Linked DNA regions of Lonchura striata. The protein of the gene in region 2 binds, or shares a complex with, the protein of the main gene of each other region. Links are inferred from orthologs where the notes say so. Each region holds a gene or a part of one and is shown on either strand. Other genes may lie near its edges.

Region 1 (7,618 bases), on a different chromosome or scaffold from region 2:
CTTACACTGCTTCTATTATTTCGCTCCTCTAGAGGAAATACTCTGAGCTCAGTAAGGCAGTGCCTGTGTCCTTACTGTGACAGGAAAGAATACAGCTCATACTGTGTTTATGCTTTTTCAACAGCTTTAACTCATTAACAGTTATTTACATTAATTGATTGCTAATATTTATTAAAAATTATTTTGCAGTGTAGTATAATATTTTGGAGTAAACGACTGCAATCTATAATGTACAAAGCACAGATAACCAGGTGTAGCAATTTGTGAAGTTTTTGGTTGACAGTTTCTATTTAGTTATCCAATCTAACCAGAAATTAGTACCTGCAAAAAGAAGTATAGAATACAAAAGCCTTTTTTACAGTTTGAAAATACGAGCTGCCTGAACACAAATTCGATACTCTTATGAAGAATAGAGAATTTCTTTTCTGGAAAACACATGCAGAAAATAGTAATGTTCACAAAGAAACAGGCCAATTTTTTTTGTTGTTGTTGTTGAAGCATAGCTGAAACTTTTTTTTTACTGGGATTTTTCTTTTATGGTAGTACATTCATAATTTAAAATTTGAAATGTTAAGTGCCAGAAGAATTTCCTTCTTAGCTAAATTAACAGATTGGAGAATTCTCTGATTACTAAAATTATAATTATTGTCAATGATGCTATTGGTATAACAAATTTATTACATTTAATACAGGTATTTCATTCTAATTGAAGTACTTAAGAATGCTTTCAAAAGGAAATTGAAATTAAGAAACACAACTACTTGAAGTCCACAGAAACATACAGGTGGATTCTCTTTAGGTTTGTTTCGGGGTTTTTTGTTTGTTTTTTTTTGTTTGTTTGTTTTGGGTTTTTTTTAAATCTATGGCCAGATTGTTGAATATCACTCTACTGAAAATAATAGATGACACTTCAGCACTAATTAATTCAGCATGCTCAAAATAAAAGAAACAATACTTTTTCACCTACACTTTAGGGAAGACTTTGATATCAGCATTCCTCTGGAGAAACTGGCTGCTCATGGCCTGAACAGGGGCATTCTTCACTGTCTGGATGGCCATGCCCAAGGAGTGGTGGGGAATGGAGTCAAATGCACCCGACAGCTGTTCCCCTGTGGTGTTCCCCAGGGCTCAGTGACAGTCCCATTTAATGTCTTATCAGTGATCTGAATGCTCCCTAAGTCAGCTGCAGTCAACACTAGGCTGGACAGGAGTGCTGAACTGCTGGACTTGGGTCACAAGTGACAGACTTGGGGAAGAACAGAGCAAAGGAGCTGGGGGTGCAGGTCGACACTTGACTGAACACGAGTGAGCCAGCGTGTGCCCAGGTGCACGAAGGCCAGAGGCGTCCTATCCTGTGCCAGTAAATGTAGCAGCAGCACCAGGCCAGCACTTCTTATCTTGCACTCCATATTAGCAAAATGTTATGGTTTTTAATTATTTGGAAACAAATTTGTCCTTTGGGACCTATTAGTTTAAATCTGGAAACTTTGACTTACTCATCTCCAAACACTTGATGGCTGTACTCTGGATTAAATGTTGTGTTCTCATCCTCCAAATCCTCAGGAAAGCGAACTGAGAAAATAAAAAGAAGAGAGCATGACCAAGTCACCACCTTTCATCTGTTTATCCACAGAAGCCCTGCGAGCTGTTCACACACCTTTCCACTAGAGTCAGACAACTTTAGTTAAGAAACTATGTGAGAGTGGCATACAAATGATATCAAGGCATCCTATACAATTTGGATTCATGTTACTTGACCTATGAGTATCAAATCAGTAATCAGACTAGGACTGAGAAACTGACACAGATGTATACATGTATCTATTTCACAGAAAGACACCAGAATACTTCAGTATCACTTGTATAATATTTAAAAAGTGGTATTACCTAGCTTCAGCTGAATCGCCTCATTTGTATTACACTTGTATTCAGCCAGCTTCTTCTCCATAGCAGTAAGTCCTGAAAAAAAAGAGATTTTTTTAAGAGGTGTCCAATCTCTTTGTCATTATTACTCAAAAAATATATTAGAAAAAGGGTCATAAACCAAGAAAAAACACTTAACACGAGACCACCAAACAAGAAAGATTAAAACAGCTACAACATGCCACAACACATCAATACAGAGGATAAAGAGAGCTGTCTCACACACTCTTCTGGAATTAGAAAACATACAAGTATCTCATTTTAGTTTCTGAGAATTAAAGTCATTACCATAAAAATATTAAGTATTCTAAGTTACTACAAATTAAATATATATTTCATATGTGCTACTTATAACATGCAATACTGAATAAGAATTCAGTATAACATGTTATAAATAACACGTGTCAACACACTTCAAGTGTTTGCATTAAGTCAGTTTCATAAACTGCTATTAATGAACTACAGTGGCATGTACACCACTAGCAATTATTTAACCAGCACTACTCTTCCGGAACGGATGTGGAAGAAAAACGCAAATAAATGCACTGTATTTCATGTGATTTCCAAAGCCTAATCTAGGCCAGAAGACACGTTTCACCTCAGGTATGTTCCAAGTGCTTCACAAACATAACCCCCGCTTCATTTCAAAGGGCCATAAGAAAGTTCTTCTGCATCTTACTTCAGGCAGCAAACTTTAAGTAAAAACACTTTCGGGTTTTTAGCTCTTTGCCCACCGCCAGCACACTCGTGGCCACGGACACACTCTCTGGTCTAACACTACCAGACCGTGGGGGCCATAAGCCCGCAGACACGCAGGAGCAGGACCATGGCAGTCAGGCGGCAGAGAGGCAGAGGGGCAGAGGGGCTCCCCTCCTTCACAGCCTGTTCCCGTCCGCCCGCATCCGCCGGCTCCGAGCTTAAGCTCTCCTGCCCGTGCCGGCGAGGCTGGGACCGGCCCCGCTGCCGCTCCCGGGCCGGGACTCACCCGCCATGGCCGAGCCCCGCGCCGCGACTCAACCCGCGCGCCCGCCCGCCGGAAATGAGAGCGCGCGCAGGCGCTTCCGCTTCCGCCCGCCGAAACCCGGCGTGGAGCCAATAGCTGCCCCGCGCGGCGCGCGCAGCCTGCGCGCATGCCCGGCACCGCCTCGAGCCTCGCGCTGGCTCGCGTGACCGGCCCCGCCCCGCCCCGCCCACCCCAGACCGCGGGCCGGCCGGCGCGCGTGCGCAGAGCTGCTCGCGCCTCTGTCACGTGCGGCGGCTCCGCGCGCGTCGCGGACCCTGCGGCTGCCGGCTCCTTCCTCACTCTCAGACCTCGCTGCTCATTGCTGCAGTTACGCTTTGGCCGAGCAAACAGCCGGAGCTCTGTCATTAGTAAAAAAATAAAACTCTCTATATTGAACTGCTTGTTGCAGCTATTGTGGGATTTCTGCCGTTTTCTTTCAGAGACCTGGCTTTTGATGCACAGTGGGAGTTGCTGTGCTGGTTTGGACAGGGGTAGAATTACTTTTCACACTGGCTTGTGTGGGGGTGGTGGGTTCAATCTTTGAGGGTCCCTTCCAACTCAGCTTATTCCGTGTTTTCTGGGATTTGTGCTGAACAGATATTTTTGTTATTGCTGAGCAGGGCGTACATGGAGCCAGTACTGCCATGGTGGTAAGGATGTTGGGGCTGAATGAAAGGTTGGAAGAGACACAGCTGGGACAGGTGTCCCTAAGTGACAAAGAGATATTTTTGACCAGATGGCATCCTGCACAGTCTATAAAGTGAGGAGAAGAAGGGAGAGGATGTTTGGGGCGATGATGTTTGTCTTCCCAGGTAACTACTACTGGTGATGAAGCTCTGCCATCCTGCAGATGGCTGAACACCTTCCTACCCATGGGAAGCAGTGAATTAATTCCTGATTTTACTTCGCTTGTCTGCCTAGCTTTTGCTTTTCCTATTAAACTGCTTGTCTCTCAACCTATGAGTTTTCTACTTTTTACCCTTCCAATTCTCTCGCCAGTCCTGCTGGTGGGGGAACAAGTGAGTGAGTGTGTGGGGCTTGGCTGCTGGCTAGGGTAAACCATAACACCCTGCAGCTAAGCATGTACACATATGGCTTTATTGAACAACATACTTGGGTGGTCAGATGCTTACCAAATAGGCAAGATTTCTAGCAAAACTTCTGCTGTCAGCTGGGACATAGGCATATATGTAGTATATGAACTCTTAAGAAAACCTTTTTTTTGACATGTAATTAAAATGTTGTTTACCAGAGGAAAGTTGTTTTAAACTTGAGTCACTGTTTTCTGACCACCATTGTAAGCTACCAGTTACTGTATTTAGTTTAATATCTCTCTGTGCTATTTGAGGAGTACCAGAATCTACCTTTTTCCAGTGCCATCTAATAAAAGACAATTTGTTGTGCCCTTGAAATAGCACAGCAAGACATAGTATGAAGTATTATTTAAATCAGGTTTTATAAGCACCATGATTGAACTGCTGGAATAAGGTATAAACCTTCCCTTTCTTAAGACTTCGGCCTGCATGCTTTTTATTTTTAAGTATAAAGCATATGTGTGCTCTGCTGATAAAGGATTATAAGACCTTGTAAGAAGTTAGTGAATTCAGCCGGATTTTGGGCCTCTAGCTCTATGTTTGAAATAGAGAGCTACAACCGACTTGCAGCCAAGCTGCCAGAACACCAGCCTATGAACAATTTCGGTACCTGAAACCAACAGGTACACGCACACCTCTGCTGACCCTCAGGGACACGGCTGCATGTGTTGCGCCACAAGGAGACTCGGCAGCATTCAGAGGCCCCGTTTTGCACTGTGGAGGCGCTACCAGGCTCCCGCTCCGCGCACCCACAGGCGGGGCGGGGCGGGGCGGGGCGGGGCGGGGCGGGGCGGGGCGGGGCGGGGCGGGGCAGGGCGCTCTCCCCACAGCGCCGCGCTGAGGCGGCGGTGCTGCGGCGGCGCGGCGGGCGGCGGGCGGCTGGCTCCTCCTCCTCGGCGGGCGCAGCATGGCGGTCAAGGTGACTCTCCCGCTCCGCCGCTGGTGGCAGGAGGAGCCGGGCGGATCCCGCGTGGGGCCGGGGGCAGGCGGGCGGCGGGATTCCCGCGGGGGCCGGGGAACGGTGATGGCGGGGCGGCCCCGGGGGAGCGGCGGCGCACCGCCCGCCGGAGTGCCCCGGGGGGCGCGGGCCGGGGTCCCGGGGCAGCGGCGGCGGTCGTGCTGCGGGGCCGGGCGCCGCTCGCAGCCAGCGCCGTGCTGAGAGCTGCCAGCGGCGCGGAGCCCCGTGCCGTGCCTCGGCGGCGCGGCGCGGTCGCGGCTGAGGTTGGGCCTGTGGGTCTGACGAGGGACGCCGTGTTGCCGCCTTCGGCCGGCGCGGCGGGTTGCTCTGCGATCTGACAGCAGCCCGCCTAAGCGAAGCATTCATTTGCTTGTGTTTACAGGTGCATTCAACCAAAAGAGCGGATCCCGCTGAACTACGGAATATTTTTTTGCAGGTAAAAAGATCTAATGTTGTTTGAGTGTCGGACTTCGGTGTTTTGCTCTTTCAGCAGTTTACCGTGGCATCAGACTCGTGTCGTGCTGGTGGCACACTTATAAGTTCACTTTGCAGGCGTAGTGTATTGACGGGGTGTCAGGCATTGAGGAGAACCTGCTGCTGGCAAAAAGTGTGATAACCATTTCCAAATTACCATATTAAATAAGCTCCTGAACTATTTTCTAATTTTCTATAAAGCATATAATTATAATGAAGTGCTGTTTTTTTTTTAAATGCACCTTTGCAGAATCAAAAAAATTTTTCTTCCACGACTGTATGTTTTGTCCTTGGGATTTATATATGTTCATGCAAATGGTTGGACCACTAGGAGTGTTTTTAGAACTTAAAATTGATTTCTCATTATTAATATGTCTTGCAATATTATCCCTTGCAGGGCCTTAGAATTAGCATACATAAATAATAGCATGAAGGTTTCTCCATTCCCTTAGTTTCACTAAAGTGCGATCAGAAAGGAAAAAAATCAGAAACTTTAGGATATTGATCCAGTCAATCCTAAAACTTTAACGATAAAGTTTGAATCAGTCATATGGAATAATAAGAAGAACAAGAACTATGTTTTAGGTCCATAATAGGGCCACCAATATTTCAAAATGACTAAAATATGTTTTTTTCCCTAATGTTGAGTGTTACACAGCATATTTAGGAAGCTTTTCTCTATTTAAAAATTTAGGACTATAAAATTAGAGTTAATACTGTAAATAATAAAGTCTGTTATTTAACTATTTATATGTATCTTCTGGTTCTACTATACCATCTAGCAATTTCCGTATATGATAAGTAGTCAGAGAGAGCTTTTTGCCTGAGAGAGAGGAGTTGCATCCCAGCCGTAATTTTGGTGGCCTTTTCTTTTGCATACTGGATTACACTATGACATTGCTGGAGTGCAAATACTTAGAATGCTGGCATCAAACTGTGGAAGCTCAACATTTAGTTTCTAGTAAAAGATACTCCAACACAGGTTCATTTTTGATTGACATGGCATTCAGCTTTTGTAGGTAAAGATTACACTAGAGTATGTTACTAAAATTAGTGACATAAAAGTATTATCTTTTAAAATATATATTAATACAGTATAAAAATGTGATTCTAGAACGTGTTTTTCCACCTTTTCGCAAAATACTTTTGCACATTTGAATGAAAAACAGTAAAATGAGGTGTCAAAACATTATTCAGTTGTAAATGTGAATTCTTTATGATTCTTGACATCCAGTCAGTAGAAGTTCTTGCTTCTGGAAATAGGGAAATTAAGTTCTTGATAGTGGTCATACAGACAACAGCAGAGAGGAAGAACATTGTATCACTGGCTGGTGTTTTATTGACCTAAAACCAGACAGTTTGTTTAAAAATAAAAGGCTTCCCCCATGGCTGTCTTGTTTTCTTCAAAGAAACATGCAAATGAAGTTGTGAATTGTTTGATATTCTGAGAAATGAAAAATAAGAAGCTCTCCTCTCTCTCTTTGAGTATGTGAGATTTTGCAGTAAAAAAAAGGCATAGAAAAAAGAGTTTGTATTTCTTCTATGTTTTGTTGAGTTTGAAATTGTGGGTTTTTTTTATGCTTAGAAATCAAACTTACTTGCAGACTTTAAAACAAAGGAGAATCATTCTTTTCAAGACTGAGTTGCAGAAAGTCTTGTTATGAAATATTGCAAGTGTTTAGGGGTCAGATATGTTGTACTCCTTGCTGAGAGTGCTGGTCTCTTCTTTGAACTTCAGCTAAAGGTCGTGCATTCCTTCCTAAATTTGGCTTCCCTTGGAAATGGTTAGAAGGGAAGATGTGAGCTCTAGGCCTCGTCACCATCCACCTTAATCATAGAGAGTCTCCTTAGATTTCCTTCTGTTCATGCACGTCTTCTAATGGGATACGTGCCCTCTCGCCGTGCAGTGTACCTTGTATCTTAAAGGACATTGAGTATATACCTTTCTCTTCAGAATTTTTGAGGTGTGCTATCTGCTTCTTCTAATTGTTTTAAACTGTTAAAAAGATAAAGTTTGATTTGCATTAAAAAGATGTGCTATTTCTCTTAATCCTTTAACTATGAAATGCAGGCACTGAAATTTCATGTCTGTGCACCATCAAATAAGTTACCTTTTAGGTGTTTGCTAACCATAGACTTGAGTAAGAAACATAAAAGAACAGATTT
Region 2 (7,693 bases):
TGGTTAATTTTAATCTCCATCTCAATTTTGCCAGTCACAGATCCGAAGCCACCATATTCTACAGTTGTCAGAAAAATGTCAGTTTATCCCATCCATTATTTTAAGACTACTGAAACAGCATTCCACAGCATCTTCCCTACTCTAAGAAACAGTGGTAGCACCTTATTAAACACAAGCAAAGACTAGGAAAGACTCACACCATGTAACACAATAGCTTTAACACTTCTGATATTTAGAATCTTCTTTCAGAGCTTTAGTTTTAACTTAAGGTAGATGTGTACCAGTTTTTACCACAACTGAGAGCTGGTAGAAATTCTAGTAGGAATTGCATATGAATGTTAACTAAGCTCTTCTGAAACAAAAAGTTTCTTATTTTTAGTTGTCTAGAATTAGTGTGGACTGGTATTTGTCCACTTTTGTATTTCACATAAACTTAGAATATCATTATTAGAACAATTGAAAGCAGTAATGATACTGCTCAAACAGAACCTAAGAATGCTGCATACCCACCTCCTTTCTCACTGTCAGACTTCAAAGCATCAAACTGATCATTGTTGGGAATCTGGACTCTGGCAACAACCAGGTGGTTCTGCTCATCAGAAGTGTGTGTTCCCAAAATCAGCCAGTGCAGAGCATAATCCTTTCCTTCTGGCCTGTTTAGAATAATAAATGTTGGAATAAAATTATGTGCTCAGTTCCAGAAGTTCTGTAGCTTGCATCAATAACTCTAAAGATGCAAACCTCTTCAGGGAGCTAGAAAAGAGACACTCCCCAAGAGATCCTCCCCTCTGCTGCAAAGACTTGTGTATTAAAGCAAACTGGACTCTGCCATGAGCAAACCAAAGACACAACCAGCAAGGCTCGAGTGACAATACAAGGCATTAACATTGCCACTGTGACTTGAAAGGCACAGTTAAGAGTCTGCACAGCAGTTAAAGGAGACACCAAGACCTACTTTGGTCTAATTTCCCTGGAGTCTCAGAGTATTGATTTAGGAAACAATCAATACTCCTTTCCATAAAACATAAATCCTGAAGAGACAAGTGACAACCTACTTTAGTTACTTCTATTAGGAGCTTTAACCAGCTATCTGAACTAGAACCAAATTTCTCTACTGGTGGTTGAATGCAACATTTAGTTAAAAGTGAACAGCTGGATGGATGGTGCCATTTATCTCTGAAAGGACAAATCTGAGCAGTAAAAACCAAGCAACCTCTGCATTCTTGAATGCAACAAACTAATTATGTTTCCCAAATCCAAACAACCCAGAATAATTTTGGTAATCATAAACTACCACAGGTATTACTACACCACTTCTAAATGTAGAGGGGAGGGAAAAAATACCAAACCACACAAGAAACACAATGCACATGCACTTACTTGCATCAGGAACAGGTGTCCCATCATGTCAGATGCCATACAAAGAGGCAGTCCTTGCCTTAAATTGCTTACATATTTTGACAGTGGATAATTGGAAATACCAGGTTTTAAACTGAATATTAAGCCAATCTGCAAAATACGAGGCAAGCAGAAGTGTTCCTCATAAGGGCTCCACACCCTCAAATCCCCACTGCATTTTCTCCACGCCATGACTATTTGGCTCATATCTCTCAACATCATCCCCAAACACTTTGGTACACCAAATGAAGTGATCACCTAACCAACATGTAAAACATCCCATATGTGAAGTGGAACTTTACAGAACAAAGAGACCATCTTCTGATAACTGCATTAAGCTTACACACAAGGTATTTTTAAATCAACCTAATTCCACATTACACCAGTCCTTGTCCACCACCTCAGTGGAACCCTGAGTTGTTACTGCAACAATTTAAGTTCTGTAGCAGTTGGCACATGAACAGATTCTATCCCCAGCTTCATTCTTCTTTAAGAAATGAAACTGAGACTACAATTTTTTCAGGGGTATGTGGAAGAATGGGAAATTTGAACATGTGAATTCAACAATGAACCAAGGACAAAACCAGGATGCAAAGAACAAGTTTTAGCATAGTCTCTTAAGTAAGTCCAGACTTAAAAGATATCAAGCTTATACTGCACTATTAATACTATACCTTGGACAGAACAGTATATATTAGTGCACATGCAGAAAATCAGTCTTTAAGAATGAGCTGATTTAATATATAGATTTCTCGATCATAATTAACACTAGAGGAACACAAGATCTCTTATTTAGAAATAAATTGAGAAAGATTTCTGTGTTCACATCTCACAACACCTTCTGCTAGGCTAATCTAGACTTCGGCAAAATATCAACTTGTAACCTTTTTCCTGCAAGCAAAATAAAGCGCTACGAGATAACAAAGAGAACTGTAACCCAAATTGCTCTCGTCTTGCATGGTTTTTATCCTCAAGGTACTCAGCACACACGGTTGACGGGAAAGGAGCCGAGCGCCTCCCCGGCACCTTCCCGTCTCTCACCTGCTGACATCAGGCAGCCACTGCACCGTGAGGCTGGGCCACTCCAGGGCGTGGGTCATCACCAGGTCGTACAAGAAGGGCGTGTTTTTCTTCCAGATCTTGTACTCCTCGCTGATGACACGCTCCTCCACCGTGTCCTCCAGCACTGCAGGAAGGGAAGGGATGAACTGAGGGTGGAGGGGGCCGGGGCTCTACCGGGGCGGGACAGGAGTGGGGGTCCCGCAGGGCCATCGGGGGCGGCCGGCGGGACGAAAACTGCAGCCGGCCATCCCCGCTGCCACCTCCCGCGGAAGCTGCTCGGGGAGGAATCCCGGAGCGCCCCAGCTCCGCCATCCCCGGGCTCACACACCCCACACCTCACCCGGCCGGGGACAGGGGAGGGAGGGGGCTCCTACCGTCCGTGCTCGCCATGTCGGGCGGGAGGCGGCGCCGGGAGGCAGCGCAGGGGGCAGGAAGAAACGGAGGAGACAGGAAAAGGGGAAAGCAGGGAGGGAGCGCGGGCAGGAGGGAGAACAGGGCGAGGTGCCGCGGGGACGGCCCCCGGCCCCCAAAAGGCTGCCGGGCCAGGCGGGGCCGGGAGAGGCGAGGCGGGGCCGGGAGAGGCGAGGCGGGGCCGGGGAAGGCGGGGCCGGGGAAGGCGAGGCGGGGCCGGGGAAGGCGAGGCGGGGCCGGGGATGGCGAGGCGGGGCCGGGAGAGGTGAGGCGGGGCCGGGAGAGGTGAGGCGGGGCCGGGAGAGGTGAGGCGGGGCCGGGGGAGGCGGGGCCGGGGATGGCGAGGCGGGGCCGGGGAAGGTGAGGCGGGGCCGGGGGAGGCGGGGCCGGGGATGGCGAGGCGGGGCCGGGGAAGGCGAGGCGGGGGAAGGTGAGGCGGGGCCGGGGAAGGTGAGGCGGGGCCGGGGAAGGCGAGGCGGGGCCGGGGAAGGCGAAGCGGGGCCGGGAGAGGCGGGGCCGGGGAAGGCGAGGCGGGGCCGGGGAAGGCGAAGCGGGGCCGGGAGAGGCGGGGCCGGGGAAGGCGAGGCGGGGCCGGGGATGGCGGAGGCGGGGCCGGGGAAGATGAGGCGGGGCCGGGAGAGGCGAGGCGGGGCCGGGGAAGGTGAGGCGGGGCCGGGGAAGGTGAGGCGGGGCCGGGGAAGATGAGGCGGGGCCGGGAGAGGCGAGGCGGGGCCGGGAGAGGCGAGGCGGGGCCGGGGAAGGTGAGGCGGGGCCGGGGAAGGTGAGGCGGGGCCGGGGAAGATGAGGCGGGGCCGGGAGAGGCGAGGCGGGGCCGGGAGAGGCGGGGCCGGGCCGGGGAAGGCGGGGCCGGGGAAGGCGGGGCGGGGCCGGGGAAGGCGGGGCGGGGCCGGGAGAGGCGGGGCCGGGCCGGGAGAGGCGAGGCGGGGCCGGGAGAGGCGAGGCGGGGCCGGGGAAGGCGGGGCGGGGCCGGGGGAGGCGAGGCGGGGCCGGGGAAGGCGAGGCGGGGCCGGGGAAGGCGAGGCGGGGCCGGGGAAGGCGAGGCGGGGCCGGGGAAGGCGAGGCGGGGCCGGGGAAGGCGAGGCGGGGCCGGGGAAGGCGAGGCGGGGCCGGGAGAGGCGGGGCCGGGGAAGGCGAGGCGGGGCCGGGGATGGTGAGGCGGGGCCGGGAGAGGCGGGGCCGGGAGAGGCGAGGCGGGGCCGGGGAAGGCGGGGCCGGGGAAGGCGGGGCCGGGGAAGGCGGGGCCGGGGAAGGCGGGGCCGGGGAAGGCGGGGCCGGGGAAGGCGGGGCCGGGGAAGGCGGGGCCGGGGAAGGCGGGGCCGGGGAAGGCGGAGGCGGCCGCGCTGCGCTGTGGCCGCGAGGTGGGGCTGCAGGTAAAGCAGCGCGCCCCCGGACACCTATTAAGTATGTTTTACCTAATGAGCCCTAAATCACATTGAGAACGTGGATATTGATCCCCCTTCGCAACTAGAAATTATAGAATTATTGAATGGTCGATTGGCTTAGGTTGGAAGGGACCTTAAAGATTAGCTCATTCCAACTACCCTGTTGGGCAGGGATACCTTCCGCTAAACCAGGTAAGTAAATCTGTAAGTAAGAATGGTTACAGTGGCCACAGCTGCATAGTTAGTTTTTTCAGCAATGGTTCTGAATATTGCCCCATTTACTAGAAGAAAGGCATGTTTGAACTATTTTTAATTGCAGTTTTGGCATGGAAGGCACTGAATTGCATTGCTGAACTGTCAGACACACAGGATCAGTTGGTGTTACCAGTGTTTTAAATTCTGTCACTCTCTAATGGGGTCAGTGGTGGTGTCTCATACCCTGGCAAGTGACATGGCTTTGTTTAAGTGGCTATGTACAGATCAAACATATGGCCCTGTCACCATCCAAATCAAACATACAGCCATACCACCCTGCCTGCCCAGCCTTGCTGATCTCTCCTTTCAGCTGTCAGTAAAAGATTGTGTAAGGCCAGTTGGATGGAGCTCTGAGCAACCTGGTCTAGTGGAAGGTGTCTGTGCCCTGGTCAGGGGCATTGTAACTATCCCTTCCAACTCAAACTATTCTATGATTCTATGATTTAATTTCTATGATTCTATGATTTAATTTTACTGCTTTCAATTCAGCTTAAATTAACAGTGCTTGCCTTAACCAGGGTAGATCTTTCTGGCAGCTAATAACACTTTCCAGAAAAACAATGGAAACAGAGGCAGTTAAGAATGAGGTTAGAGTCTCCCAAATGCCCTTAAAGATTCAAAAGAACTTTTTGTCTCCAAATAGCATGTGTTTTCTTGCCATGTTTTAAATTACAGTTCTAAAATGAATCCTTGCATCAGTGTTAAACTCACAGAGATGAATCCTGTATCACTAAGGCTTATATGCCTGGAGTCCCAGAAGGGAAAGAAATCAACTCTGTAGTGGAGCTCACTGTGCTCAGCTATAGATGGTGGGAGGAGAGAGAAGGAAACAGAAAAATAATAACTGGCATTTCAAAGAACACGCTTCATGGACTCAGCCTTCTAGAGTCTGGACACCAGTTTTTCAAACAAGGAATCCAGTTCTGGAAAATGTTTATGTCTAGCAAAGGCAGGAGACTCTGAGGCTCTTAATAAGCAGCCAAAGGTTGCAGCACGGGAATCAGGGAATAAGACTAAGGAATGCAGCCAGCTCCTCCAACTGGAAGCTTTCCCTAATAAACCATTGCTTTTCTGACCAGTGTGTTAAAAAATATAAATCTTTTGGTGAAGTTAAATAAGTATATCTTAATCTTCGCCGTAACCCACACAGATTGGAATTATACCTTTGCATGGCTTACTTGTTTAAAATGAGAATCCTGTTGAATTGCACGGAACCTGTACAGCAGTCAGCTCCATAGGAGTGCACGAGTTAACACAGACACAGAGCCTTCTCCTGCCAGATGTGGCACCAGCTTCCCTTTGGCACTGCTTACTTGATGCTTTGGTGTTTGCTGCCAAGAATGTGTCTACTCCTACGAAGTGCTGAGGCCTTCCTAAAACGTTTTCAGAATGAAGACTGAACCTTTCAGAGCCTGTGTGTTGTTACAGAGAGTTGATCACTTAAACTTCAGATAATGGATAAAGGAAATCTCTGTCAGGCTTCCTGGCTTTAAGTGCCCTCTGTTAGCTCCCCCAGAAGGGTGATTACGTGGCCCCTTGAAAGATGAAGCACGTGTAAGCATTTGGCTGTGATGCTCTTTGTGATTTTGCTGTAAACAGCAGTATTTGTGGCCACAGCTTACCTGGAGTATAATAGGGAAAATGTGAATTGCTTTTGAAATATGATGGATAAAATTGTTCAATTATGTCATGTAGGGCTTGGCTGAACTATAAGTGAAGAATTGCTCCCCAACCCTCCACAATTTTTTGCTGACTCTGTTTAGGATCTGGAAATCAAGTTTGATTGTAATAGGCTCCAGAACTAGTGCTAGCTTTGGTGAAAAAAAACCTGTTATATCTAGATGTCAGAATGGTTGGTAAGTGACCAGCGTAGTTCTCTTCTCCTTGTTAACAATTACACTTGCACACAACCACATTTTTTCTTTATTTAAATCTGTGCACCAAAAATCCTGTTATTAAGTGCTCTTCTCCTGTTGAGATTTATCATGGAAGAGATGATTTATAACACTACATCTATCAAAGACAGCACATCATCGGCTCTTATGTTGGTTATTTGCAATTCATTGGCATGGTCATATCTGTGGCCACACATCTAAAACATATCCTTTGATTCCCACACTTTGTAAGGAAAGCAATTACACAAAGCTGTTGTTCATCATTTGCAGTATGTGTAAAATGCACCATAAATTAGTTCTGAAGTGAAAGAGTGACTTGAATCATAAGCTTTATTTTTATTGAGCTATACTTCTTTCAAACCTAAGCATCAAATATTGCATCTTCATTTCAGTAAAAAACCATCTCCTGCATCCTCAATTGTATGTTCTGCTTCAAATTACAGGCATATTTATGAATAATTATATGCACTTGTTAGTTTTAGCTTAAAGACATTCTGCAAAGAATTAGCTGGCTTGCTGTTGCTTCTGTCTCTTATACATTATGCAGAAGTGATGGATGTTCTTAGCATAACTCAGCAAGTAGGTGTAGGTATTACTGTGAGTGACCATCTCAGTCATAAAATTGTGTAAAGCAAAGCAAGTTTGCACAAAAACTCAAAATTACCTATTGGAAACGTAAAATAGCAGCCTCAATAGTTATTATACTCTAACATGTTTGCTGTCATTGCATAGCCCCAGTAGCCTGTTTGGAATAATGCCTCATTTTCTTAAAACATGTAGATAAGAAAAGCACACTTCATTTTAATTCACTCAGAATTTCTTGAAATGTGACCATGTTTATTTTCCCCACTGGTCATCCAATATTTATTTTTATTTACCCAGCAATTATCATCTCCCCAGTATCAATCACACCTAGCCAATGTCCTGCTGTCACAAAAGATCTTGAGCTATAGCTGTGTCTTGGACATGTTCTCTGGGACATGCAGTTTGGGATTTGCCTAATGACAGCACGTCTCCAATAGTTCACTTCTAAATAGCTGTGATTGTGTTTTATCCTGATGGGCAACATCTGTGTGCTTCACAGCCATGTGCAATTGGCAGCTCTTGCTTTGCATTGAATAAAGTGCATTTATGGGAATGTCAGTACTTAGGAGAAAGCATGACTCACTGGGATTATATCCAGCATTGTAGACAAATATTCCTCTTGCACCTTCTAGGTGGCATTGCTCCCACCACGGGGATGCTGTAGTGGGAACTCATGAGCTGTAG
Region 3 (7,004 bases), on a different chromosome or scaffold from region 2:
GAAGGCAACAGGGTGGAGCTGGGAACATGTATTTTTATTCAGGATTAGATTGGTTTTGTGCATTTTGGTGAGGATGGGGCAGCAGGCAGCAAATATCAGCCAGAAAAGGCAGATCACAGAGGAGGGACTCCGAGGGCTGACAGCTTTCTCTTGGGAACAAAAAAAGCACGAGGGAAACTTAGTAGCATCAGCAGGAAGCAGTTGTGGGGAACAGAGACAGGAATGGAAGGAGCTGTAGCAAAGCGATAAGAAAGGAACAGCACTGATGCCAAAAAAAGCATAAAATGCACAATTTTCCTTCTGTGCCAGGGTCCCAGACTGCCCCAGGGGCTTGCTGGGTGTCCTGGGGAAGGAAGGGTTCTGCACCAGGAGCTGCTGGCTCATTACAATCCCAGTGAGAAAGGTACTCAGCTCTGCAAAGCATCTTTGAAAATGCTGTTTGTTAAAGCTGACACTCACATGCCTCTATCACGCTTTCCACAGAGGTTAAACCTTGCCTTCACTCAAGACTTAAAAAGCTTAATTTTCAGTCTAGGCCTACCAGAGGCTTTTCATTTTGTGTAGCACCTGATCGGTTTGGAGACTCAAAGATTAAACTGGTGCTCATCAACTTGAAGCTGCATCTGTGGTTATTTTATGTACGAGGCTGGATCACCAGAAATGTGAGGATAAGCATTTGAATATAAACTCCCTCTAGGAAAAGGAACAAACTTCCCACTTCTTTCCCCTTGGTGCTACATGGGGCTCTGTGGTGGGTAAAGGACAGTTAGAATATCCCCAAGTCACTCAATTAATTAAGCCTGATAACAATTAATTACATTAAAATTAATGCGCAAATTTAATGTTTTACACATGTCAAAGACATGCCAGGAAAAAAAGAGGGTCTTACTGTGCCATCTTTAATTCTTTTCATTGTTGGTTTAACCCAAGGTGATAAGGAACAAGCCTAGTTTGTGCTCCTCATTTGCAGGTCCCCATGAGTGTTACAGCACGGCTCTGTGATGACTATTTCGTTTTGTTTCCAGATAAAAGGGGACAAACAAGTTTGTTTCACAGCATGGCCCACGGCCCTGTGGCAGAGCTGCCAGCACCTTCCAACATCCCACTTTGCATGTGTATTCCTTACACCCTCGCCCAGGGCCATGGCACCGACCCACAGAGCTTTGGAAAGGGAAAACCTCCTTCAAATCAGTCACAGCGCTGCCTAAGCAGGGGCTGGAGGCAAACTCTGTGGAAATATTGGCTGCTCAGTATTCCCAGTGGTTTGGGAGGAGCAGAGGTGAGGAAGTCAAACCAGGAGAGGGAAAAGAGAAAATAAAATACCAAGAGAAGAAAGGGGAGGGGAACAGAGTGAATGTTGCAGATATTGCACAACTCAGAAGAGGCAGCTGTACCTGGAAAATACATCATCAGTGCTTCTTGTAGTGGCTGAAGAGACAGGCACACATTCCTGTCCATCCTCTCTTGTGGGAAAACAGCAGTTCACACGTTTATTTTTAAGTTGCATTTTAGCGTGCAGCAGGCTTGCAAATGTCACCTGTGTGATAAAATGGCTCTGCTGTGTTTCCTGCTCTGTGACTTGGCCACTTGGTGATGAAGAGCTGCTTTTGCTGTCAGCGAACACCACCGAGCCATCAGGCTGCAGAGCAGGGACCTGCAGCTTGCTGCACACAGCCTGGGAGCTGGAGCTGCCACACTCGAGGCACAGTTTGCATGTGCAGAGCACAACTCCAGCGGTGCAGCCCAGCTTGGGCCATCAAACAAGGTGAAACCGCCCCTCCAAGGGAGCTCGACTCTGTGGTCACCCTGCTGAGCAGCCAGCCCAGGGCCCGAGCACGACAGTGGTTTTGTTCTTGTGGCCACACCTGGTTCAGAACAACTGCAGTGAGCCCTCAGAGCACACGGCAGATGGGAAGAACTTGCAGGTACTTCCTACCCTGCAGTGAGTGCCAAAAAAATAGAGTAAATTAATCTTAAATAGAGTCTGAGGCCGAGCAGTAAGTTTGTCCTTTATCAGGGTCTTGTGTCTTGTGCCACCACTGCTACCTGTGCCCAGAAAACTGCAGAGCAAACATCAGATACCCAGATCTGACACTGCTGGGCTCCTGCTTACAGGACAAATGATGCTGCCCTGCATGCCTGAGCATCTCAGCAAGCCTGGCCCTCACACCTTGCTCCAAAGATCACAGTGCCTTGTGCTGAAGGAAGAATAATCTTTACAGGACTTTTTCCACATCACCCTGCCTCCCCCTTGGAATATTGTAAATTTTGGAGCTGTCTTTATAAAACGCAAGCAAAACACAGGGGATCTTGTTCTTCACAGTGTTGCTCTGAGCACAGTTTTGTAGAGTTGGTGTAAAGCCGTGAAAAACACGGCAAGCTCGGAGTGTTCCCATTTCTCACTCACTTGGTGTGACTGTAAACAACCACATGATGGAAAATCCCGGAGCGGTGTGCAGGACTTTGCTGGCCTTCCAGGATTCAACAGAAAGGCTGTTATTTACAAATCTGGAAGTGAAGCTTTAGGTTTGCAGAGTTCTCACTCACACGGTGAGGGTTTACCAGTGCAGTCTTTCAGGGCTCTAAGAAGAATTACACAGTTGTAATCACAAGCACCAATGTGAAACTACTGTCACTGAGCGTGTAATTCTGTGCCTGGGGCTCTCAGGACCCCTCTCTAATAGACCAGAGCATGGATCAGTTGTAAGGACAGTCAGTGCCAGTCTGGAATTCGCCAGGATCGCTGGAGTCAAGCATTTGGTCTGGAAATAAAATACAAAGGTATTTCATCTGGTACCAGTCAGAATTTTCAGATGTTTCTCTCATGCAGTGCACAGTCAGCAGGGCATGAGCCAGGGGCTCAAAGGCTGCTCCTCTTTTCCCATTCTCCCTCGATTCTCCTTTATGCAGAGGAAATAATCTGATTGCTCTGTGACTGTTTCCGTGTCTCTGTGACGGAGGTGTTACCTGCTTCCCTCTGCAGGGCCGTCCACTCTGGGCCTGAGTCAGTGTCACTGACGAGGAATGTGCCCCTGATTTCCAAAAGGCATGATCAGGCTCTCCGTGTCTGCTGTCACTGGCATTTAGAGCAGTATGAAGCCATGGATAGACATTAAGTAGCACATGAGGCAGCGCATGCAATAAAACTATCAGATCTCAGAGTGGCTGCTGGTAAAATATACATGGGGGTCTGATATGGGGGGGTCTCAGGCTGAGCTGTGCACCTAAGGAGAGAGAATGTCCAGATCCCAAGTAGTTTTGTTTGGATAAACCTGGAGTAACTGAACAATTTTCGAGTGTATTTGATATTAATTGACTGAAGGAGCAAACCTGAATATCTTGCAGTGAAAAGGATGAGTTCTGATGGCAGACGCATGCTGGAAAGCTTCGTCATTTAACCTGATTCTTTTAAAAATTTTGGTGGGGAAGTTTTACTGCTGCTAGCAAGCAGAAAATGTGCCGATTGTCAACGAGATCCATGTTCTTTTAGTCCCTCAGAAGCTGCAATCCACATTAACCTTCCACCTTCAAGCAGAAAGAACTAGTGGTTTGGAAAAAAAAAAAAAAAAAAAGAAATAATAAAAAGGGCAGGTTTTTTCTCGGCGGCATCTAGGGGGGTGGGTGAGAGAGAGAGAAAAAAAATTATTTAAAAATTATCAACAGGTATTTTCGAGGTTGGCGGGGGGATGAGCGCGGGGTGAACGCCCGCCCTGAGGTGAGGGGGAGGCGGGAAGGCGGCGGCGCGCGGGCCGCCCTGAGGGACGCCCGGGGCTGACAGCGGCCGCCGCCCGCCGCGGGCACAGCGCGGCCAAACCCGCAACTTGTGCCAAAACTTTCCGAAGTTAATTAAAACATCCCCCCCCCGCCGCCCCGCGCCGCCGCCGGGCTCCGCGCCGCCGCCGCCGCCCGCCCCGCTCCCTGCCGGCGGTCCCTGAGGGGAGCTCCATTGTCTGTGAGGGGATGGCCGCGCACCCCCGCCGCGCCCCCGCCCGCCGCGCCCCCGCCCTCCGCGCCGCCGTGCGCGGGGCGCCGGGCGGCCGCGGCGGGTGGCTGCCGGCTCTCCCCCAAAGTTTTTGGATCCGCGTCTCCTCATGATGTATGGATGATATATTGCATTGTGGGTGTCAATATAACTGACGGCCATATTTGCCGGTGCTGCTACTGCTGTAAACAACCCAAAGTGTCTGGGAGACACGGAGACGCTTCGCTGAATTTCAGGACGCTTCTCCTCCTCCCGCTGGCCATGTCTCTGGGAATGTCTTACAAGCCCAACTTGAACGCCCACATCCCCGGGACTCCCCTCAACCCGGGTAAGTGCGCGGCGGCAACTGGGTGGCAAGTTTGGGAGGCGAGCGGCGGGTGCCGCACCGGCACCTGGGGGAAGCCCCGGACTCGAGTTTGTGCCCAGTCCGGTATGGCGGGGCAGCGGCTCCGCGCCGCCATTACCGCGCCCGCCCGCCCGCCGGCCGGCGCCGCCAGCCCCGCTCCGCGCCGCCCCCGCGCCGGGCTCCGCGCCCGCCCGGCCCCGCGCAGCGCCGCCGCCGCTCCGGGGCTCCGGCCGCCGGGTTTCCTCCATGCTCGGCTCCCCGGGGCGGCTGATTGATCTGGATCAGGAATATTCCGGCGGCGCCTCAGCGAGGACCGCTGCTGGCGGGACGCCGCAAGTGCGGCCGCTCGCCCCGCGCCTCGCCTCGCGCCTCCTCCGGCGGCGGGGCCGCCCCGGGCCGCGCTCCGCGGGCCGCGGGGAGCCGCGGAGCCCCGACCTCCGCCGGCGCCTCGGGGCGACCCTCGGTCAGCGCTGCCCCGTCGGAGCCTCCCCCGCATCCCGAGCGGAAGAGCCCTCTCCGCTCGCTGGAGACTTTTGGGGATGGGGGGGCACACAGGGATTGCACTATTTCTTAAAAAACTCCTGTTTAAAAATCGCTCCTCATCCTTGGATTTGTACAGGAGTCCTGCCAACTTTCCTCTTTAAAAAGTTTCCTTGACAGCGTTAACTTTTTGCCTTTTTTCTTTTTTCTTCCTTTTTAAACTACGTTGCCCCGTTTTTCTCCTCCCGATTTCCGAAGGCATCAGCCGGCGGGTTTTTGCCGGTGCTGTGGTGCTGCTGTGCATCGGGTCTCCGTGTGCGAATCGGTGCAGCCTGAACAAAGCCGCAGCAGCAATTGCTTCGCTGTGGGATATTTGGAGGGGATCTCGCTAATCTGTGCTCGTCGGCTCCGATTAAACCGCACCAAAATGGAGAAGTTGGTTCTGACTTTAAAAATTCGTATTCGTCTCCCATGCCCGCAGCCCAGCCTGCAGGACTGGCATCAATCAGACAGCCACAAATCAGACTGATTTTTTTTTTTTTTTTTTTCCCTGAGAAAAAGTTTTGGAGTTAGGTTTAGGAGGGAGGGAAATGTGTCTGTGTGATTTTTACGGCACCGTTAGCGGTTGTGATCCTGGGAAGCTGAGGAGCGAAAGGGATCTCCGGGATGCATCTCTGTTCTAGCTACCAGGAGAGCAGCAATCGTATTTTACTGCAAGGACTCGTCACCAGCTGGTGGATGAGCCGATGTGGCTGTGCCACCTCGATCCTGCATGGAGCTGAGCTCGGTGGGGCTGCGAGGGTGCAAAGCTCGGGGAGCCGGGGTCGTGTGTGGGGAGCACCGTGGGGCTCGAGTGCTGCTCTGCGGAAGGGTCAGGGAGCAGGGGATGTGCCGAGGATTTCTGACAAAAAGCAGAAGTGTCACCGGAGGGGGGAAAAAAAATTAAAAAAAAGAAACAAAGCAAAGCCCAGCAAGGGAAACCGTTCTCCTGCCGGCTCCCACGAGAACCTGTGCCTTGCTCTCCGGAACAGCCGTAAAATTGCAGGGAAAACAAAGGTGGTATTTTGCGATGGTGGGTGAGGGGTGGGGATTAGGTCATGCAGTGGAGGGGATCCGAGTCTGGCTGCTCTGCGAGCAGGGACTGCAGAATCCCGGCTCAGACATGCCGCGCACAATGCGAGCCGAGCGGTGAAGTTTCTGTCTCCAGCCCTCTCGCTGCCGTGTCTGCGCTTTCCACCGCTCCGGCTTTGGATTCTTTCATGCAGTTTTATCTTCCCCTTCTCTCCCACCCTCCTTTTCCCCTTGTATCGGCAAGTTAGCAGCAGTTTGCTGTCATGCTGGAACTATTCTTGTCTAAGTTGTCCTCTCTTCTGAGTTCGGATCATCCTCAACACCCCCAGAATCTTTTCAATGAAAGAACGTCCTCCTCTGAATCCAAAATGGGCTCTCTCTTCCCTCCCTGTCTTCTGCCATTATCCTCACGCACCAGCTCTTCCTCTAGCTAGTGGTATTGCCAGCACCGTGGCCTAAGGCCAAGGGACTTAGACAAAGCAGTCCTTGCAGTTGCACATATCGCATTCAGAGTGATATGACTGCAAATGGCCCCCTCCTTTCTGGAGCTTAATTCTGATTTGGAGGAGATTGCCTCTCTATTGTGCCTAAATTAAATGCCCCCCAGCCAGGAGGATAAATCCTAGGTTTGCTTCCAAAATTGGGGTGGAGGACCCCCATCCCCTACCTCCCCCCCACAGCCCTGCAGAGGAGAGGAAAACAGGAAATCTGTCCCTTTTGGCCTGAAATCAGCCCTGCAGAAACCTCTCTATATGAATGCTGAATTTTTTGGGCTTGGCCGACGGAGGGCTCTGGGCAGCTGTGGATCTCACAGGGATTTTCCTCTGGGAGGTAATGCTGCTTCCCTGCAGTGCAGGGCTTCTGGTGGAGTATTTGGGAAGGCAGTGTCGACTCAGCTCTTGGAGCCGTGTCCTTGCTGCAGAGCAAACTCCTCTCAAGTTGAGGCTGAGAGTAGCCACTCTGCAAAATGATACTTAAACTGCACATCAGTGAGATGAAGCAGTTGTGGTTGGTGGGTGCCTGGGCTCTGTTCTTGCATGGGAGCATGTTTTGGGAATCCAATCCTGGACTGAAGTCCAGAGGGAGAGGAGCTGGATGTGGGGGAGGAAATACAGGGAGGAAACC

Evidence for each region. The genes of interacting proteins can lie anywhere in the genome.
Region 1: RBBP7 (region 2) and HAT1 share a complex: the UniProt entries of both Homo sapiens proteins name them as parts of the type B histone acetyltransferase (HAT) complex. The link is inferred for Lonchura striata from reciprocal best matches to the Homo sapiens genes RBBP7 and HAT1.
Region 3: RBBP7 (region 2) and CDK2AP1 share a complex: the UniProt entries of both Homo sapiens proteins name them as parts of the nucleosome remodeling and deacetylase (NuRD) repressor complex. The link is inferred for Lonchura striata from reciprocal best matches to the Homo sapiens genes RBBP7 and CDK2AP1.

What each region holds. Positions count from the first base shown.
Region 1 is NC_134610.1:20,438,924-20,446,541, reverse strand, and holds the start of HAT1 (histone acetyltransferase type B catalytic subunit), read right to left. Parts: upstream 3,001-7,618; 5' UTR 2,916-3,000; coding exon 2,909-2,915; intron 1,960-2,908; coding exon 1,888-1,959; intron 1,573-1,887; coding exon 1,497-1,572; intron 1-1,496. Other genes in the region: SLC25A12 (electrogenic aspartate/glutamate antiporter SLC25A12, mitochondrial), read left to right, coding at 4,928-4,939, 5,361-5,414. UniProt on the Homo sapiens protein: Histone acetyltransferase that plays a role in different biological processes including cell cycle progression, glucose metabolism, histone production or DNA damage repair. Coordinates histone production and acetylation via H4 promoter binding.
Region 2 is NC_134604.1:100,704,598-100,712,290, forward strand, and holds the start of RBBP7 (histone-binding protein RBBP7), read right to left. Parts: upstream 3,011-7,693; 5' UTR 2,851-3,010; coding exon 2,835-2,850; intron 2,585-2,834; coding exon 2,440-2,584; intron 654-2,439; coding exon 511-653; intron 59-510; coding exon 1-58. UniProt on the Homo sapiens protein: Core histone-binding subunit that may target chromatin remodeling factors, histone acetyltransferases and histone deacetylases to their histone substrates in a manner that is regulated by nucleosomal DNA.
Region 3 is NC_134620.1:13,009,585-13,016,588, reverse strand, and holds the start of CDK2AP1 (cyclin-dependent kinase 2-associated protein 1), read left to right. Parts: upstream 1-4,004; 5' UTR 4,005-4,102; coding exon 4,103-4,310; intron 4,311-6,588; exon of another isoform or gene 6,589-6,631; coding exon of another isoform or gene 6,632-6,710; intron 6,711-7,004. UniProt on the Homo sapiens protein: Inhibitor of cyclin-dependent kinase CDK2. Also acts as a component of the histone deacetylase NuRD complex which participates in the remodeling of chromatin.